Linked DNA regions of Arabidopsis thaliana. The protein of the gene in region 1 interacts with the protein of each later gene in a pairwise test. Each region holds a gene or a part of one and is shown in the gene's direction. Other genes may lie near its edges.

What was found.
Region 2: the proteins of AT1G30860 (region 1) and AT5G38220 interact in a two-hybrid assay, tested with the Arabidopsis thaliana proteins (one large-scale study listed by BioGRID).
Region 3: the proteins of AT1G30860 (region 1) and EIF2 BETA interact in a two-hybrid assay, tested with the Arabidopsis thaliana proteins (one large-scale study listed by BioGRID).
Region 4: the proteins of AT1G30860 (region 1) and ACT7 interact in a two-hybrid assay, tested with the Arabidopsis thaliana proteins (one large-scale study listed by BioGRID).

Annotation. Positions count from the first base shown.
Region 1 is NC_003070.9:10,985,982-10,991,462, reverse strand, and holds AT1G30860 (RING/U-box superfamily protein), read left to right. Parts: upstream 1-1,869; 5' UTR 1,870-2,216; coding exon 2,217-2,969; intron 2,970-3,068; coding exon 3,069-3,187; intron 3,188-3,274; coding exon 3,275-3,958; intron 3,959-4,042; coding exon 4,043-4,364; intron 4,365-4,452; coding exon 4,453-4,767; 3' UTR 4,768-4,967; downstream 4,968-5,481. Other genes in the region: RSH4 (root hair specific 4), read right to left, coding at 5,445-5,481.
Region 2 is NC_003076.8:15,266,888-15,271,965, forward strand, and holds AT5G38220 (alpha/beta-Hydrolases superfamily protein), read left to right. Parts: upstream 1-1,786; 5' UTR 1,787-2,124; coding exon 2,125-2,420; intron 2,421-3,031; coding exon 3,032-3,068; intron 3,069-3,176; coding exon 3,177-3,413; intron 3,414-3,490; coding exon 3,491-3,538; intron 3,539-3,860; coding exon 3,861-4,253; 3' UTR 4,254-4,569; downstream 4,570-5,078.
Region 3 is NC_003076.8:7,094,149-7,098,860, reverse strand, and holds EIF2 BETA (eukaryotic translation initiation factor 2 beta subunit), read left to right. Parts: upstream 1-1,715; 5' UTR 1,716-1,849; exon of another isoform or gene 1,850-1,990; intron 1,991-2,191; 5' UTR 2,192-2,199; coding exon 2,200-2,238; intron 2,239-2,365; coding exon 2,366-2,480; intron 2,481-2,571; coding exon 2,572-2,627; intron 2,628-2,729; coding exon 2,730-2,784; intron 2,785-2,878; coding exon 2,879-2,973; intron 2,974-3,063; coding exon 3,064-3,209; intron 3,210-3,326; coding exon 3,327-3,469; intron 3,470-3,560; coding exon 3,561-3,646; intron 3,647-3,795; coding exon 3,796-3,867; 3' UTR 3,868-4,212; downstream 4,213-4,712. Other genes in the region: TSL (Protein kinase superfamily protein), read right to left, coding at 50-139, 397-648; AIP2 (RING/U-box superfamily protein), read left to right, coding at 4,551-4,712. UniProt on the Arabidopsis thaliana protein: Component of the eIF2 complex that functions in the early steps of protein synthesis by forming a ternary complex with GTP and initiator tRNA.
Region 4 is NC_003076.8:3,050,195-3,055,191, forward strand, and holds ACT7 (actin 7), read left to right. Parts: upstream 1-1,867; 5' UTR 1,868-2,068; intron 2,069-2,608; 5' UTR 2,609-2,614; coding exon 2,615-2,674; intron 2,675-2,768; coding exon 2,769-3,162; intron 3,163-3,248; coding exon 3,249-3,862; intron 3,863-3,960; coding exon 3,961-4,026; 3' UTR 4,027-4,497; downstream 4,498-4,997. UniProt on the Arabidopsis thaliana protein: Actins are highly conserved proteins that are involved in various types of cell motility and are ubiquitously expressed in all eukaryotic cells.

The DNA of each region.
Region 1 (5,481 bases):
TAGTAATTTATATATACAATTGGGTTTGGAAACTAATGTGATGCTTTTACGTGGGAGGCACAACTTTAAGATTTGAATATTCGAGTGACTTGCCTGCATGTCGTATATAATGTTTATGATATATAATTTTTTTTTGATCAAATGATATATATTAATAGTATAATTTTAAAAAACCTTTTTACAAGAGAAAAAATGATATAATGATCTTTACATTACTGAAATCAGGGTTTTGACTTATTTGGATTAGATTAATTGTAAAATTTATTTGTCAACAACTTCCATTGATTTAATTTTGTTTGTTTTTTGGTCGGTTATGTGAGACTATTATTATTTTATTTTGTTGTCTACAATTAACATACGTATATATACACTGGATGATGACATCAAAGTATGTTTTCGAGTAATCCGTAAAGCAAAATGTGATATATCGAAATTAACAAATTTTTTGCACAATCATTAATAATGAATTTGCTCAGATCCTCTAACAAAAATAGCGATATTACCTCTGCACATTTTTTAGCACGGAAAAATAGGTCCATTAGAGACATGTTGACAAAAAAAAAAAAACAATTCACCATAGGCTACGTTTATTGAAAATTGATGCATCTCAACAAGTTTTCAAACGTTCAAATTTTGAGTTTTTTTGAACTATACAACAAATTCTCACTAGTCAAAACCTTAAACTTTTTCATATATTTTTCTAGTTTTTATAATTTATATTTCTTACAAATAATTGTAGAAAACTCAATTTTTGGGTCATGAAAATCGCCAACAGTGTGAAAAGAGGCCAACCAAAAGCAGTTGATTCTCTAGAACTCATTGTTAATAACTGAAATATATGTATGTAAACTAATATTTGCTAGAATTATAAAGGAGAAAAGAGTACAATCGAAGTCGGAACCAACGCCGGCCGGTCGGAAAAATCACAGAAGAAAAATCGTATCAATCGCTTTTTCAATCGTCCATCTTCTTTATCTACCGGATAATACTTCCTAATACTTAAACTTTAAGAAAAAAGATTGTCAGCTAGCTATACGAAGTGTGGAAGAATACATTATCACATATGCCGCAACTAATATAAACGATACCCAGTTACCTGAAATATATATACGAAATATATGTCGTATGTGCCAATATCATAGACACTAAGTCTCGATTAATCGGTCGTTTTACTCTATCGTTGACTAATCGTTAACTCATCGGGATCCGAAAATGATCGGTTGTGAACCTTATTATTGGTTTCAATTATCGTTATTTTGTATAGAGACTATTTTTTCTTAAATCGTTTTATAAGAGTCACAAATCACAACTCGTCCTAAGTTCTCTCTCTATTCGACTAACCCAAGCACGACATTGACCACTATGCCTGGGCCTATTGACCACACTACAATAAAATCGCACACTACATGAAACTTGGGTTGAACATCTAATTTTCTCTAATTAAATTATTTTTACTTTGCTTAAAAGTTTTTGTTCCTGTCAGTTATACAATTTAAAATTGTTTGTTATCTTTAGTTCTTCAATTTGATTTATGATGTGGCATAAAATCCAGAAAGTGCATGGTTCCCACTCGACAACGGCTAAATTCCTCAACGGCTCCTTTTTGACTCTAGCATATTTAGGAGCCTTAATTATTAAATAATTTAATCACCCTTTAATTAGTATAACAATCCAATGTTAATTTTTTCATGCATTACACAATTAAATGCTTTTACCAGTATAATGACATGTGTTATACAATATCTTTCAAATTCAATTTTGTCCAAAATTATAAGTAGCTTTTTTATTTTTCTATAACAATTTATCACTTTTGGCCACATAAGGCTTTTCTTTCTCTGTATTCTTACACCTCATTCTTTATTGCCTTGTTTTACAGACACGTTCCCCAGTTTAAGGGACAAAACAGAGCCATTTTAGGACTCTTAACATTTATAAGTCCTCTTACTAAATAGATAAGCACAAATACTGTTTGGTTCTGTTTTGCTTCTTCATCATCATCGTATCTCCACCGTTTGTTTGTTGTTGTTCTGTTTCTTTAACAGGAAAAAAAAACAGAGAGAAAAATCTGTCTCTTCACTAACACAAATCCATTTTCTCTTCTTCTTGTAGAGAGACAGAGAAAACAGAGTTGTCCTCTAACTTCTTTCGATCGATTCAAAAACTCTAATGATTATTTGATTTTATGTTCGTTTGTTCGATTCTTAGATCGTAAAAAAATGGTGTCTTCTCCTCAGAGATTCGGTTTAATCTTAAGAGATCGTAACCAAAACGCTGGCGTTTTTCAAAAGAATCTGAAATCTCCGGTGAAAGAGGTTTTGAAATCTCATGTCTCCGATGAGAATTTAGTTGATTCTTGGATCGAAACTCACAATAACAAGAACAATCGTGTTCTTGAATCTCCGTTAGAATCGAAGAGAAACGACAATCTTGTGGCTTCTTCTTTGGTTCAGATATGGGAGGCGAGGCTAAACCGATCCAACGGTGGAAACTCGCCGAGTAGCAGTCAATCTACGGCGAGTAGTAGTAGTCGGAGCGATTCAGGAGTTAGTGTTCAAGATTCCGGTCTTTCAGAATCTTCATCAATCGATGGAGATTCTGAAATTGCTGATCGAACGGTGGAGATTGAATCTAGGTCACATGGTTTGGTTTCTGATTCCGGAGAAAGTAAATGGGGACGAGTCGCTGACCTAATTCGGAGGCTTAGCAACGAAGACAAGAAACGAACCGCTGGAGATAATGGCAGCGGCGGTGGCGGTGGACTCGAGATTATCAGAACGCCGAGGCCTTATTGCACTTCGTCGTCATCGGAGAAAAGTAATTTTCCGGTGGTTAGTTTCTCTCCGAAGATACGAGGACGACAAGCGTTTACCGATTTTCTTATGCAAATGGAACGTGATCGCCACCGTGAATTGGATTCGCTTTTTGAACGCAACGCAGTTTCTAGGTTTACTCAACGTGGTCGTCTCCAGGTAAATTATATTTTCACTATTTTGATAAAAATAACTAACATATTTGTGACTTTATTCATAATCCACTAAATGGTTTTTCTAATTACATTATTTAACCAGTCAATGCTAAGGTTAAGGAACCTCAATCGCTGTCTTGTGATTCAAGATAGAAACCGGTCTAACGCAAAAACAACCGGATTAAACCGAATTGAATCAGGCTCTGCTGTTCTGCATTTAAGGTTTTTTCAGATTCTCTGTTTTATGTTTTGAGTTTAGTTCTTAGGGTTTACTTTCTTCAGATTTTCAATCTTTGATTGGCAACGCAGGGAGAAATTTCATGCGAACGTAGTAAACTCTGCGGCTGCAACAGATAAGAGGAAGAATCATCAACGATCCACTGAGATGAACAACAAATCCGTAGAAGAAACAGAAGGAACTACTACCACAAGCACGAGGTTAAAGGATGGTGGTGTTACTCTCGAAGCTTTTTTCGCAGAGCGGTTGAGACCCCGTAACCGCAAGATAGAGGAAGCAACGTTATGTAAGGAAGAAGAATCTGTAAGTGGAACAGTTGATTCACAAAAGAATTGCCTTCAGCTGCAAGAAACAAGAGAAGTAGAAGAAACTTGCAACGATGGCAAGTCTGAAAAGAAAGAAGAAGAAAATACTAGCCCGAGTGAATATTTATCTCGAGAATCGCGGTTGAGACAGAATCAAGACGAGAACAATGTGGGAAAGTATATGCAAGAAACTCGAGAAACAGAAGGTCTAGTTCATGAGAGTAATGAGATGGACCAGTGCCTTGATCAACAAGAAACATCCTATTTGAATAGATGGGGAGAACAAGAAGAGTATGCAGATGAGCAGTCTTATTATGGAGAATATAACGACGACTGGCTTAGTGAAATAGCTAGGCCTCGGAGTTACTGGGAGGAATTGAGGAAGTCACGGTACCTGGAAGTAATGAACACTAGGTCTGAGAAAGATGACATATGCAGACTCCTTGAGCGGTAAGTAACCATCAAAATTGACAAGCTCATGTTTCTTAATGGTTAATAACTGACTAAGAAAATGAATTTCCCTGCTTAATACAGAAGAACGGTGACAGATTTCCTCGACAGCGGGTTGCGAGAGAAGATCGATAATCTCATGATGTCCCGTGTACAGACACACTCGGATAAGCACTCCAAAAAATGGGAATTGCAACAAGAAGAAGAGGAGGAAGTAAATTTTGAAATTGATGAAGAAATCAAAGAAGAGCCATTAAGAGGAGGTGAAGAGCAAGATGATAGAGATGACTTGAGCCAATCGTCGTCTTCACATATATCTGCATCGTCTCCTGCAGGATCATGGAGTTCTCAAGACACTGATGTTACTTCCACTCCTGCCTTGGTTGTTCAGAATCCTCAGTCACCTGTGAGTGTTTATCGATTTCTTGTTATACTATAGAAACTCGCAACCGCACTAGTGGTAAACTCATTGAGCCGCATATAAACGTTTTCAGGAAATGGAGCTGATAAGCGGTATGAGATCACAGATCCAACAGCTTCAGCAAGAAATGTCAGTACTACGAGATTCTGTCAAAACGTGTTTAGATGCTAACGCGAGCTTGCAACACAAGGCTCACCAAGAAAACCCAATGAAACGAAAATGCTGCGTCTGCGACGAAACACAGGTCGAGGCGGTTTTGTACAGGTGTGGACATATGTGCATGTGCCTAAAATGTGCCAACGAACTACATTGGAGTGGAGGGAAATGTCCGATTTGCAGAGCTCAGATTGTTGACGTTGTTCGTGTCATCTACGATACAAGAAACTGAAATCAACCGTTTTGAAAACGCTGAAGAATTCACTAACCCATTAAACCCTCTTTTCCTTATCGAGTTTGCGTTATTTGGCGTTTTGGGTCTGAATATCGTATTATGCTCTCTTTATACAGTTTTTAGGTTATGTTACCAACACTTTGTCCAGTTTTATGAAGTTTTTGATCTCCTAAACCAACCAAAAAAATTAACGGAAAATAGCCTAAAAATAAACCTTAAAACCTGAAAAGGCAAGTCACAAACAGAGCTTGGAAACATACATGAATTTTTGCAATTACTCTAGTAACCATCATTTCATTGATTTTGATACCTCATTGAGTACACTCTAAAAATTGTAGATTAAAGTCTGAAAACAGATCTTCGATGCAAAAGTGAAGCACATAGATTATAAAATACTCTCATAATCATCTACTCTTGGTCAAATTTATTTCATAAAGATTCAACAAAGCCAAACAAACCCTCAAAAATTGGAGATAGAGCTTCTAAGCAAACACTAAAAATTATACTTTTTGAGTTGTTTTAGAATCATAAACCCTTTATCGATTTTGATTTCTCAAAGACTCAACACTCTCTTTCTCTCCATAATATTTACACATCATCCGTAGATACATTACACTCATTTCATACATACATATTATAAATAAAACTCTGTGTTCTGTTTTTGTTTTCCTTATTCAAGCGTTTTGTGCGGTCAAGAAGGTGTTGAAGTCA
Region 2 (5,078 bases), on another chromosome or scaffold:
AAATAGGTTTGTTATCAAAAATATTTATTAACAAAATAATAATAATCTATGATTTAATAATTATAATTTAACATGCTTTAACTATATAAAGGGTGGTTTTGTGCAAACAAAACTCTCAAAGTTGCCAATATTTGTAATTTTACTCTCCACCTTAAAAAAGTACAGAATAGTTTTATAAAATCTAAAATAATAATTATTATACCCATTTCGCTATTGTCAAGTTTATAAAATTTTGAGAAATAATATATTTAATCGAAGTCCTCGAGACGAAAAGTTCAAATCTACTTTTAGAATTTTAAAAATCCAATGTATGTGATCCTGAAAACATTTACAATGTATATATGTATAAAGACTATACTACGTTTTATTTTGGACTTATATAATTATTCTGTATTTTTTAAAGTGGAAGGTAAAATTGTAAGAATTGACGACTAACCCTTATGTAAAGTATACAATATGTAATTTAATCATATGATTTCTATTTTTTGTATTAATAATTATGATATAAAAAATTATAATGAAAACCATTACATGACTAGAAAATATGTTACATCTATGATTTCTATGATTATTAGTATATAAATATAGGTTAACAAAGAATATTATTATATAAATCTAGATCCACAGATTTTGAAGATGCTATTTTGTTAGTCATATTTTAATGAAAATATTAGTAATATAGTTTCTTAATTATAACACCAAAATGACATAAGCTTCAATAGTTTATTACTTTTTCTTCTTTTTTCATTATAACTATGTTGTTTGAAATTTGTTTAAAAATAATTATGTTTAACTATTTTTATTGCTAATTTATGTTATTTTCGTATATGCTATTATGTAGTTAATAAAGTTATATTCATTTTATTAATTATATTTGTATAGTTAGATTCACTTTTGATTCAAATATCAATTATATTTTTTTCATGTATAAATCTTTTTATCTATATACCCAAGTTTCTAAAATTTTTTAACTATCATGAAATACTTACATCAACAATATGATACAATGGTATGCAATTATGCTACTTATTTGGTTTGAAAGTTATCTAATTTGATTCTAAGCAAATAATTTCTTGTTCCATGTATTCTCTCCTAATCTAGTATTCCAATCACATCATGATAGGCTCATGGCTAAATATTGGATTGACATAATTTGAATAACAAATATATAAACTACTCATTTGCTTTAAAAGTTTTCATATGAAAAAAAAAAATCATAAATTAAATAGTCTTTTGAGTCAACACTTTTAGGTTTCTCTCTTTGCATTTGCATATATTCATATTAGAGAAAGGATCGTATATTGAACTTTTTGGTATATCTAACATCTCAAAAGATCACTATTTAACAAAAGATACATGTCAATATTAATGTTACCAATTTATCATAAACATACAAAAAAACCATATCATGTAAACAAAAAAATATAATAAAAAGAAAAGACTAAGCTAAAATTACTAAACTAAAGAAGGTTAAGTAACAAACAGTTAAGTTGTAATACACGAAAATTTTTAGTCATTATCAAATAATGACTATTACAAAAATAATAAAAATAAGAAAACTAAAATGAGAGTAGTGTTTGATACATTAACATGATTTTTGTATTTTTTCTTGGCCAAATTTCATATATGATTTCTCAAATGCGAACTCAGTTGATTTTTTTTTTTTTACTCATAACTTACTTAATTTCTTATGAAAAAAAAAATATTTGACAAACAAGAAATAAAATATCAAAACTATAAGTTTTTGTTTGTTTTTTAGAAAAGAAGTGAAAGCTCCGTTTGACAACCGCCATTTAGAGAGAAGCGCGACATTTTACTTTTCGACTTTCGTGTTTCTCCAGTGGAATTCTTTTCAATATACACGCGCCGCTTATTATCCCTCACGCGCCACCGTCGTGTAAACCATAAAAAATCTCAAATCTAAACTCTTTCATTTTCAACTTTTCCTTTTCTTCTTCTTCTTCTTTATCTTTCTCACTTCTCCTTTCTCCATCGTTCTATCATTTTCTCCTTTCCTTCACCTCAAGATCTCAAAAACACAAAAAGAGAAATCAATCAAAACCTTAGGGTTTTCTACTAATTTATCTGTGTGATGTTAAGAGAATCATCATCATCTTCGTCGTCATGGGAGGAGTAACTTCATCAATCGCTGCAAAATTCGCTTTTTTCCCGCCATCACCACCGTCTTATGGATTTGTTTCCGACGTTGACCGATTATACATAACAGAAGTACCTCGCCGTGATGATGTAGATGTATTGAAGCTAAAGACTCGTCGTGGTAACGAGATTGTAGCTATTTATATTAAACATCCTAAAGCTAATGGTACGCTTTTGTATTCACATGGTAACGCTGCTGATTTGGGTCAAATGTTTGAGCTTTTTATCGAACTTAGTAATCGTCTCCGACTTAATCTCATGGGGTAAGTAACTTTTTTCTTCTTCTCTATCTCTGTTTTTGTATAAAGTTTCGATTTTTGAGGATTGTTGTGAATGATACTGTTAATTTAGGGGTTTCCATGAAAAAAGGAGGAAACTTTCCAAAATTGGTTCGTTATCTCGTTGATGTTTTTAAATTTGAATTGAAGATTTGGTTTTGGATTGGTTATTAATGGCTTATAGTCCTGAATATAGTGACAAAATCTATGTGAAAGTCAGAGACTTTAGCCAAAATTTTCTGGGTCTTGTTGACCCCTCAAGACATTTATTCATATAGTTTTTGAAATTTCTATATAAATAATTTGACTTTTGTGAAATGTTGTGATGCAAGCATTTCATTGCAACTGTTTTCAATCATACTTCTCCTCTGTGGTAGAAGAAGAATTTAGATTCTGAGAATGCGATTTCGCATATCTTCATGCGTACTTGCTTAGGCCTTGTACTCAATTTTAACGACTGTGAAGACTGTAAATTGGTAATTAGTAGCAAAAGTTTCTCCACTTAAGTTGTGTTATTGCGGTAGTTACGGTCTATAATCCAATGATGAGTAGGTTATAATAGTTCTATAATCTCTTCTTTGGTTTTCTTTTTCCAGGTATGATTACTCTGGTTATGGTCAGTCTACTGGAAAGGTTGTATTCTGAGCTTCTAACTTTATAAAAGTGTATCTGACCGTCTTGTTATGTGTTAGAGAGTCCAGGGATTGTTTTTGATGGATTTAAGTTTGTTACTTGAATCAGGCAAGTGAATGTAATACCTATGCTGATATAGATGCAGCATATACTTGCCTCAAGGAACATTATGGTGTAAAAGATGATCAACTGATATTATATGGTCAGTCTGTTGGTAGTGGACCAACGATTGATTTAGCTTCACGCACGCCTAATTTGCGAGGAGTGGTTTTGCACAGCCCTATTCTCTCTGGGATGAGAGTTTTGTATCCGGTTAAACGTACCTATTGGTTTGACATTTACAAGGTAATTTAGCAAACATTCAGCTATGTTTGTTCTGGTTTTCATGTGTTCATGCTTACACGCACAATTCTTTGTTTCAGAATATTGACAAGATCGGTGCAGTTACCTGTCCTGTCTTAGTAATCCATGTGAGTAAATGATTATTCCTCTTTCATTATTGTCTCTTTCACTTTGCCTTTGATCTTCTCATTATTGGTGGAATCTTGTTGTCATTTATTGCCTCCACAGATTCTTGTAATGAATTAAAACTTGTAGGTTAACTGGACCATTTGACAAGAAAATGTTTGGTGAAACTCAAGTTGTTGAAATTTATGAGATATTTATTGGGTAGCCAACTTGAGTATTTCTCCAATAAGAATCATTGTCTTGTGCCTTAAAAACAGATTAGTGACATTAGTCTAAATTTAAATCACTTAAGAAGGTTTTTAACTCTCTTGTTTGGTCTGGTAGGGGACTGCAGATGAAGTGGTTGATTGTTCTCATGGAAAACAACTTTGGGAACTTTCAAAAGAAAAGTATGAGCCTTTATGGGTATCTGGAGGAGGACACTGCAATCTAGAACTCTATCCAGAGTTCATAAAACATCTGAAGAAATACGTAATTTCTATTTCCAAGGGACCAAGAACTGGTTCGAACAAGACTGCAACGACGGATGCAGCCAAAAAACAGAGCAAGCCTGCAGAGAACGGGCGTGCTGATACGTTTCAACTTGGCTGTTGCCTTCCAGAAGTTTCTAGAAACAGTGTAGACAGTCAGCTGGAGAAATCTAAGAAGACTAGTAAACCCGAGAAGTCTCGTATGAGCATTGATAGGTTTAGAAGGAAAAAAGGTTCAGTCTGGTGACATATAAAGGTCCATCGACAAAACAGGTTATTTGTAACTCCTGTTTCTGTAATTCATATGTTTCTGCATAAAATTATGACGTGTGGTTTTGTTTTTTTCTTTCTCAGGTTTGTGTATGTATTTTCTAATAGAAACAGATCAAACTCAAAAGTCTTGATTTCATATTTGGTTGTAACTTTGTCATGGTACAAAACTTGTAATCACTGACAAGTTTGATTTTAGTTTGGACTTGCTTTTCTCGAAACTAAAAACGCATATACAGTAAAACCTCTATAAATTAATAATGTTGGGAGCGAGAAAATTTATTAATTTAAAGAGGTATTAATTTATCGATAAATTAATAATTATTAATTTATAGAGAGATTTTACAAATTTTGTATTTTTTTTTTTTACAAAACTTCGATAGAAAAGTAGTTTTTCTTTATAATTAATAATTTTTTCTAAAACTAATTACAAGGAAAAAACAATGATTAAGTTTAAAAAATAATACAAAATTTTTTCGACGTAATAAAAATATTAGAATTAAACTCTACAAATAATTAATAGAAATTGAAGAAAAAATAATATTAGAGTCATATTTCAATAAATATTTTACATATAATATTGATATATATATATATGTGTATATATTTGTAAATTTATATAATTATTAATTTATAATATTGATGGGACCATATATTTATATAAGATTTTCGAAAAAGTTATTATCTTATTAATTTATCGATTTATATCAATTTTTACATTGGTCATAACTCGGGACGGGAATAATTTATTAATTTATAGAGGTTATTAATTTATCGAGTATTAATTTATGGAGGTTATACT
Region 3 (4,712 bases), on another chromosome or scaffold:
ATCAACCCGATAAGAGACTAAAAGAAAACTCTTTATGAAAAATCAATACCTCAACATGATCAACAACACTGAAGTTGTTAGATTCTTGAACTTTCTGGCGCTTTTTTGTATTTGCTCGGATTAGGAAATCTCCAGTATTCTGAGACAGTAACAAGGAGAATGAGATCTAGCTAAAAAAGAGACTGTATTTCTTGTTCAAGAAAGAAATATAGATGCATCTGCAATGCCAGGATATGTAGCCAGCATTGCATACAACTTTGATCAATCTTTAGGCACAAACTGATCAATACAAGGAGGATAGGGACATCAACAATTCAATTAGCAACGACCCTTAGACTCACAAGAATCATAGCATAGACATAAACAAAAGAATTTGAAACAAACATCGGAAGCTACCTCGTCGTCTGAATCACTGATAGAGGTTTCGGACAATCCCGGCGGTGTGGAAGTGACGACTTTGACAGCGGCAGAAGCAGATGACCAGAGAGAGACCTGCTGCTGCTGCTGTTGTTGTTGTTGTGGTGGCTTGGCCGAGGAAGGGGTCTTACCAGTCAAGCGGGCCTCAAGCTTGGCGATTTTGTCGGGTAAAGAGTGATCCGACTGATTAGAAGAATTCGAGGAGAAATGCAAAACCATGTCATCCGACATTGCCAAACACTTGCGGACACTTCACTCCCTAATTTCTACACAGATCAGAGTAAATTCGAGAAATTAGGGTTTTTTAACGGAGAATTACGGAATTGGAAGCTAGAATCTGGATGTCGAAGAGAAACCCATCAACAAATTTTCATGCTTTTATGCAAATCCACGTGGAGGAAAGTGAATAAAACGTACAGAGAAAGATAGACAGAGAAAGAGAAGGAGGAATAAGGTTTTTGTTTCGGTGAAAAAGAAAAATCGAGGAACCCTAAGGAATTAGGAGGGAAAGAGAGGTCAACACAAAGTTCTCTTTAGCACTCACTCTGATACATTTTTTGGTTTATCAGATTTTAGCCTAATTATATAATCTGAGGTTTGAGACAAGTTTGAGTTATGGGTGTGTTAATTTGGGAAATTTCCATTTTTTCTTTCTTTTTTTTTCTCCATTTGGTATCATGGATTAGGGTTGACTATAAGTAGGGTTTTCTTTGATCTAAGGCCAGACTCGTGGTTTAAACGCTAAAATCCGATTATGACTATATGAATTTGCGGAAGTAGGCGGTTGCCGTCTCAAGCGTTATTAAACAATTTGAACGATTAATTTAGCGGTTGAAAATTAATGCATTTGCGGAAATTTTGTTACTGAATATCTAACAAACTAAAATACTTAATATATTAAATAATAAAATAATATAATTTAGTAATTTATAGTAAAATAAGATATGCTAGACTATTAATTTTGACACTAAATATATTCTGATTTCTTTCTTTACTAGTTTCATTTATATTTAATAACATTTTTATATAATTTACTATTCACAGAATTTAATAAGAAATAAATCTTAATTTGAAAAAAAAAAAATTGATTTGATAAAATTTCAATTGATTAATTAATTAAGACAAATAAAATAATAAATGAGAATCTCAGTGTCAATTAATAGATAAAATTAAAATGTAACATGCGTTAAGAAAAAGAAAAAAGTAAAAATGTAATATTAAGGTTTAGGCAAAATGAAATATTTACAGAGACCTTTTACTATTGAATTAAAAAAAAAAGTTACAATTCGAGATGGACTATTTTTTTGGAGGAGCAAGGGTTAACTCTTATCTCAGATTAAAACAACCCCTGCGCCGCTTACTCTCTCTCAGATTCCTCCCGAAGCAACCTCGTTTACTCTCTACGCCAATTTCAGCGCTTAGACATCCCTTTGTGAGTTTTCTTCGATTCCTTTTCGAATTCTTCTGGTCGATCTCAGAGTAAATCGTGTTTTTGGAAGAATTGAGTATAAACAGATTGGTAAACCTAGCTGTTCCGTTTCTGATTTGAAGCCTTGTCGTACATTTTATTTGGGTATTTTTTTTATTGGGAATCGAAAAGTTGTTCTGAATCTCGTTATGGTTTTGTTGCGTTCCGAATTACCTCTCTGATTTAGAAACCCTAATTTCGGACTTGCCTATGCTCATCGTTGTTACAGATTATGTTGATTCTAATATGTATATGTTTGGTTTCTGAGGTCTTATTATCATTGTGTGTTTTCGTTTTGTATCTCAGTTGCAATCATGGCTGATGAAATCAATGAGATAAGGGAAGAGCAAGAAGTAAGTTTGTTTTTTTTCTCTGTTTCTTAATGATAGGGCTCAAGTTAGCCATATAGATTTTTTTTTTTGTTTTGTTTGATGAACTCATGATTGAATGGTTTTTATGTTTTGGTTCATCCTTTTACAGCAGCTCGCACCCTTTGATCCTTCCAAGAAGAAAAAGAAGAAGAAGGTTGTGATTCAGGAACCTGTCGAGGACTTAGCAGAGTCTTCACAGACTGAGAAATCTGATTCATTGCCTGGTATGTATGATGAAGAGTCAATGTGATGTGAAACATTTTTTTTGTTTCAATGGTCTTTTGTGTTACTTTGTCTAATTCCTTGTTTTTGCAGTTAATGATGGTCTTGAGAGTTCATTTACTGGAATGAAGAAAAAGAAGAAGAAGCCAGTGAGTATTGTTTTACGTTTTGTGCCTAGTATTTTTTTTATGTCATTAAACTTGTGTGTTTGATGATTCTGTGACTCACATTTGTTCTTGTTTGATATTTAGACTGAATCAAGCTTATTGAACAACGAAAGTGTTGATGCTGGGGAAGATTTGGATGGTACTTTTAATATCCTTTTTTTTTGTTTGCTAATATACCTTTTCTCTTGGCGGGGTTTTTATCCTGTTTGAATCTTACTGAGAATATATTGCAGAGATTGCTAATGACGAGCAAGAGGGGGAAGAAGGAATAGTTCTACAGCAACGTTACCCCTGGGAGGGAAGTGAGAGGGATTACATATATGACGAGGTGACTATATTTTCGATGATTTCTTTTGTTTTAATCCTTCATAAATATCTTGCTCCCTTGTTTTTTTGCTGACGGGAGTTATATATGCAGCTTCTTGGTAGAGTCTTTAACATTCTCCGTGAAAATAATCCGGAGCTTGCTGGAGATAGGCGTCGTACAGTTATGAGGCCTCCTCAAGTTCTTCGTGAGGGGACAAAGAAGACTGTCTTTGTCAACTTCATGGACCTTTGCAAGACGTATGAGCTAACTCTTTATCTTCCTCTTCAAACTTTTTCTGTGTAACCATAAGTAATATTACCATTTAATTTTGATGACTTTTCGATGACATGTCTTATCTGCATATAAAAAATCAGGATGCATCGTCAACCAGATCATGTTATGCAATACTTGCTTGCTGAGTTGGGTACTAGTGGTTCGCTTGATGGGCAGCAAAGGTTGGTTGTTAAGGGAAGGTTTGCACCTAAGAATTTTGAAGGAATTTTGCGGCGATATATCAGTAAGTAACTTTCTTCTTAGTCTCAAAATTTAAGTTGCCATAAAAGTATATCAGTTTGGAGTTGTTAACCTCTTGTTTTATTATTTCTCAGCTGACTACGTCATTTGCCTTGGTTGCAAGAGCCCAGACACCATTCTCTCCAAGGAGAACCGTCTCTTCTTTCTGAGATGTGAAAAGGTATAAGTTAATCTAATTAGTCCTGATCTTGATATGCATTCCTTTGTTTCTGTTTTACAGTTTTACTTTCTGCGCAACAAAGTAATAAAGTATTTTGTGTGTTTGAATTTGCTAATGTGATTAACGAGTGGGCTACATGGTTTTTGCAGTGTGGATCTCAACGATCTGTGGCTCCGATCAAAACAGGGTTTGTTGCTCGTGTTAGTCGCAGGAAGACTTGAGAAATTAGAAGGTGAAGTGACCTTGGTATGGAGTTTGGAGCTATTCTACTGCTTCTGTATGAGTTTATGAGTTGAAGAAATACTTGTCTTGTTTTTTTTATTTTGTTTTGGAATATGATTATGACTTGACTTTTAAAATGGGATAGGATCAAAACCTTTTACTCTGTCAGGTTCATGTGGTCACCTTGAAGGTTGATTTAGTAAATCCATGGACTTCTTTTTTGTGTTAAGATTATTCTTAGTTCAAAATTAATAGACTAATGATATTAACGTCCACAGGCATTGCGTTCAACATCTCAAATTAAAGCGTGGAAGGCTCAGAAAGTCCAATATACACTATGTTTATCTACAGTTACAATCATACTACAAAAAACAAATAATGTATACGGTTTGGTCTAATATAGCCGCATACGATTTAGTATTTACCAACAAAAAATTGGTCTCAAACCAAACCGAACAATTGGTAATTAACAATTGTTCTTTTGGTCTTGAACCGAACCAAACCGAACTGAACTATATTAACCGACCGACTTCGTCCTTTCCTCCTGATCAAGAAAACTCGTCTCCTACAAAAATCCCAGAAGACAAGAGATTGGTTCTTCTTTTGCATCATTCTTACAAAATCCCCAAAATCATTCGAAACCCCTGAGTATTCTCCTTAACTCTAAGAAATAAATTTCTGAATGGATGCATCGTCTTCACCGTCTCCTTCCGAGGAAAGCTTGAAGCTTGAGCTTGATGATCTTCAGAAACAGCTGAACAAAAAGCTGAGATTCGAAGCATCCGTTTGTTCTATTCATAATCTTCTCCGTGATCACTACTCTTCTTCCTCTCCTTCTCTCCGC
Region 4 (4,997 bases), on another chromosome or scaffold:
TTTAAATGATACAGAGTTTTTTTGTTTGGAGAGGAATAGACTGATATGATAGTCCGTGAAAATATTTTCATCTTGTTTTCAATGTGGAGATATTTTAAAGTTTGAAACCAATCCAAGTTCTAAAACATCAAAAGCTTTTATTCTCTGTTTAAACCACTTGGTTGGTCTTGGTCTTCTTGAAATATACAAACCAGACCCAAACGATAATCAGTGAAGATGACTGCATCATTGGGTCTTTAAGTTTCCTATTGGGCCAAATCAGCCCAACTATATTATTGTTATTATTTCAGTCCATTAAAGATTTTCGGCCCGTTTTATCGTTGGGAATTCATCTATATTTCCCCAATTTGATGATACACAGAACAATTTCATGTGTATACGATAAGAGGCAAATTCAAAATTTGCAATCAATGTAAAGTGGAAATGAGAAGCATGGTGGCTCAAATCAACTTATCTTTCCTTGGAATACAAACTACAAATGATGACGGATTTGGCTTCCCTTTGAATTTACCTTTTACCTCTCTCTTTTTTTTTTTTTATAGGTAATGTTGTTATTGGACAAAAATGTTAAGAAAATAAAGGTGAATGATAAATTAGAAGAGTACCCATAACTATTTTGATTATTTAAGTTGCCAACCAAGCTAGACCACTTTCCAACTTTTATAGACAAAGTGTAAGAACTTAGCACATGCTTTCCAACAAGGAATATGAAACTTTATTTCAAAAAGATTATTGTTAAAGCTTTTAATCATTCTAAAAGGTGATTAATATTTGAATTATTGGAAGTAACTTGTTTTGGACATATACCAAATTAATCAATAGTATCAATGGACATATAACATGTTGTGAGACTATATCAATGTTATATTCCAAGCCAGTTAAACCAATTTATAATGATACCATTTATAGATAAACAATACACTTTACACACATTATTTTCTTAGAATTGGGTCTCATATAGAACACTCACAAAGGTGACTTATAAAAAATGCTTCAAAGATCCTAGTCTTTTAGTGTGCATTCCTCAAAATCGTAGTTGATATGTATCTTGCTCCTATTCGGGTTTTGGTCTAGAATTTTGGTTTCAGGAATTTTCAATTAACTCATTAAAACATTTATAACATAAAAAGATATATCACGAAAACCGATCAATCATTTAATATATTTTTATTTTATTTTATTTTTTGTCACAATAAAATCTAGACAATAGTGTTTAAACATTTATCAAAAAATTCACCTTACGATTAATTTGTTTTATATTTTGTGATGATGCAATTTAATCTATATAAATTATAAAACATATCGATAATCTGTGTTTTTCTTTTTCTACATATAAAATTCATAAAAATGAGAGTTTTGAAGCTCTTAAAATGGACTAGTCAACAATTGGCCAATCTTTGTTCTAAATTGCTAATAAACGACCATTTCCGTCAATTCTCCTTGGTTGCAACAGTCTACCCGTCAAATGTTTACTAATTTATAAGTGTGAAGTTTGAATTATGAAAGACGAAATCGTATTAAAAATTCACAAGAATAAACAACTCCATAGATTTTCAAAAAAACAGTCACGAGAAAAAAACCACAGTCCGTTTGTCTGCTCTTCTAGTTTTTATTATTTTTCTATTAATAGTTTTTTGTTATTTCGAGAATAAAATTTGAACGATGTCCGAACCACAAAAGCCGAGCCGATAAATCCTAAGCCGAGCCTAACTTTAGCCGTAACCATCAGTCACGGCTCCCGGGCTAATTCATTTGAACCGAATCATAATCAACGGTTTAGATCAAACTCAAAACAATCTAACGGCAACATAGACGCGTCGGTGAGCTAAAAAGAGTGTGAAAGCCAGGTCACCATAGCATTGTCTCTCCCAGATTTTTTATTTGGGAAATAATAGAAGAAATAGAAAAAAATAAAAGAGTGAGAAAAATCGTAGAGCTATATATTCGCACATGTACTCGTTTCGCTTTCCTTAGTGTTAGCTGCTGCCGCTGTTGTTTCTCCTCCATTTCTCTATCTTTCTCTCTCGCTGCTTCTCGAATCTTCTGTATCATCTTCTTCTTCTTCAAGGTGAGTCTCTAGATCCGTTCGCTTGATTTTGCTGCTCGTTAGTCGTTATTGTTGATTCTCTATGCCGATTTCGCTAGATCTGTTTAGCATGCGTTGTGGTTTTATGAGAAAATCTTTGTTTTGGGGGTTGCTTGTTATGTGATTCGATCCGTGCTTGTTGGATCGATCTGAGCTAATTCTTAAGGTTTATGTGTTAGATCTATGGAGTTTGAGGATTCTTCTCGCTTCTGTCGATCTCTCGCTGTTATTTTTGTTTTTTTCAGTGAAGTGAAGTTGTTTAGTTCGAAATGACTTCGTGTATGCTCGATTGATCTGGTTTTAATCTTCGATCTGTTAGGTGTTGATGTTTACAAGTGAATTCTAGTGTTTTCTCTTTGAGATCTGTGAAGTTTGAACCTAGTTTTCTCAATAATCAACATATGAAGCGATGTTTGAGTTTCAATAAACGCTGCTAATCTTCGAAACTAAGTTGTGATCTGATTCGTGTTTACTTCATGAGCTTATCCAATTCATTTCGGTTTCATTTTACTTTTTTTTTAGTGAAAAATGGCCGATGGTGAGGATATTCAGCCACTTGTCTGTGACAATGGAACTGGAATGGTGAAGGTGAGTTAGACTGTTTATTTAGATACTGTATGGTTCTAACCTTCTTTGTTGTACATGTGTAAGACTACTGATCATGATTTTTGTATATTAACAGGCTGGTTTTGCTGGTGATGATGCCCCGAGAGCAGTGTTCCCAAGTATTGTTGGTCGTCCTAGGCACACTGGTGTCATGGTTGGTATGGGTCAGAAAGATGCTTACGTTGGTGATGAAGCTCAGTCCAAGAGAGGTATCCTCACTCTGAAGTATCCAATCGAACATGGTATTGTAAGTAACTGGGATGACATGGAAAAGATATGGCATCACACTTTCTACAACGAGCTTCGTGTTGCCCCTGAGGAGCACCCAGTTCTACTCACAGAGGCACCTCTTAACCCTAAAGCTAACAGGGAGAAGATGACTCAGATCATGTTTGAGACATTCAATGTCCCTGCCATGTATGTTGCCATTCAGGCCGTTCTTTCTCTCTATGCCAGTGGTCGTACAACCGGTTAGTTCTTAACTCTAAACATCCAAGTCTGAGTTATATTATCTTCTTACTTGTATTTACTTAAAGTCGTTCTCTTTTTGTAACAGGTATTGTGCTCGATTCTGGTGATGGTGTGTCTCACACTGTGCCAATCTACGAGGGGTATGCTCTTCCTCATGCTATCCTTCGTCTTGATCTTGCGGGTCGGGATCTCACAGACTCACTCATGAAGATTCTCACTGAGAGAGGTTACATGTTCACCACTACCGCAGAACGGGAAATTGTCCGTGACATAAAGGAGAAACTTGCTTATGTCGCTCTTGACTACGAGCAAGAGCTAGAGACAGCCAAGAGCAGTTCTTCAGTGGAGAAGAACTACGAGCTACCTGATGGACAAGTCATAACCATCGGAGCTGAGAGATTCCGTTGTCCTGAGGTTCTGTTCCAGCCATCGCTCATCGGAATGGAAGCTCCTGGAATCCATGAAACAACTTACAACTCCATCATGAAATGTGATGTCGATATCAGGAAGGATCTCTATGGAAACATCGTTCTCAGTGGTGGTTCCACCATGTTCCCAGGAATTGCTGACCGTATGAGCAAAGAGATCACCGCTCTTGCACCTAGCAGCATGAAGATCAAGGTGGTTGCACCGCCAGAGAGAAAATACAGTGTCTGGATCGGAGGATCAATCCTTGCATCCCTCAGCACCTTCCAACAGGTAAAAATCCCAATTCCGCCTCTTTAAAACTTTCAGCTCCATTTATGAAACATGAGTGAAAATACTGAAATTTTGTTTTGTTTGTGTGTGTGAATCAGATGTGGATTTCAAAGAGTGAGTACGATGAGTCAGGTCCATCGATTGTTCACAGGAAATGCTTCTAAGTGTGTCTTGTCTTATCTGGTTCGTGGTGGTGAGTTTGTTACAAAAAAATCTATTTTCCCTAGTTGAGATGGGAATTGAACTATCTGTTGTTATGTGGATTTTATTTTCTTTTTTCTCTTTAGAACCTTATGGTTGTGTCAAGAAGTCTTGTGTACTTTAGTTTTATATCTCTGTTTTATCTCTTCTATTTTCTTTAGGATGCTTGTGATGATGCTGTTTTTTTTTGTCCCTAAGCAAAAAAATATCATATTATATTTGGTCCTTGGTTCATTTTTTTGGTTTTTTTTTGTCTTCACATATAAATATTGTTTGAATGTCTTCAATCTTTTATTTGTATGAGACAATTATTTAAGTATCGGGTGACAATGCAGCTATTATGTATTGTCGATTGTTATATTGGCGCCCAAAATATATACTTAGCCTAAGAATTTGGTAAGTGAGTGGCTTATGTTTTACTCCAGCAAAAATTGTGTGTGTATTACCATTCTGATGCGAAACAAGAAAAGAATTTGATCTAAGAAACCAAGTTTATTCACTAGTTAAAAAACAAATGACCTAATGTAATCGACTCCACATATCAAAATACGTAAAACAAACATTGTATGTTGACAAAAGGGAAAAGAAATGATTTATTTGGTTAAAAAGAAAGCTGGATTCAATTGCAACAGTTTAGTCGAAATCATTTTGAAAGCTTACAATGGATTGAATGTGAATATTCCATTAAGCCGCTTCTGTCTACACAGAATGTTACGCTTGGAGAGCAGCAATCATTTTCACGTTTTTATCTTTTTAGGTGGACATGTATATTATTGGTTACGCCTTTGGAGTTTTTCGAAATTTATTTCTTTCAAATCACAAGATGACTAAACATCACAATCTGTTTATCTTCCTAACTAGTTAAATTTTTGTCCCCACCATTGGAAAGATTTGAAATGGTCGGTCCAGCCAAATCACTCAAATACTTTATGAA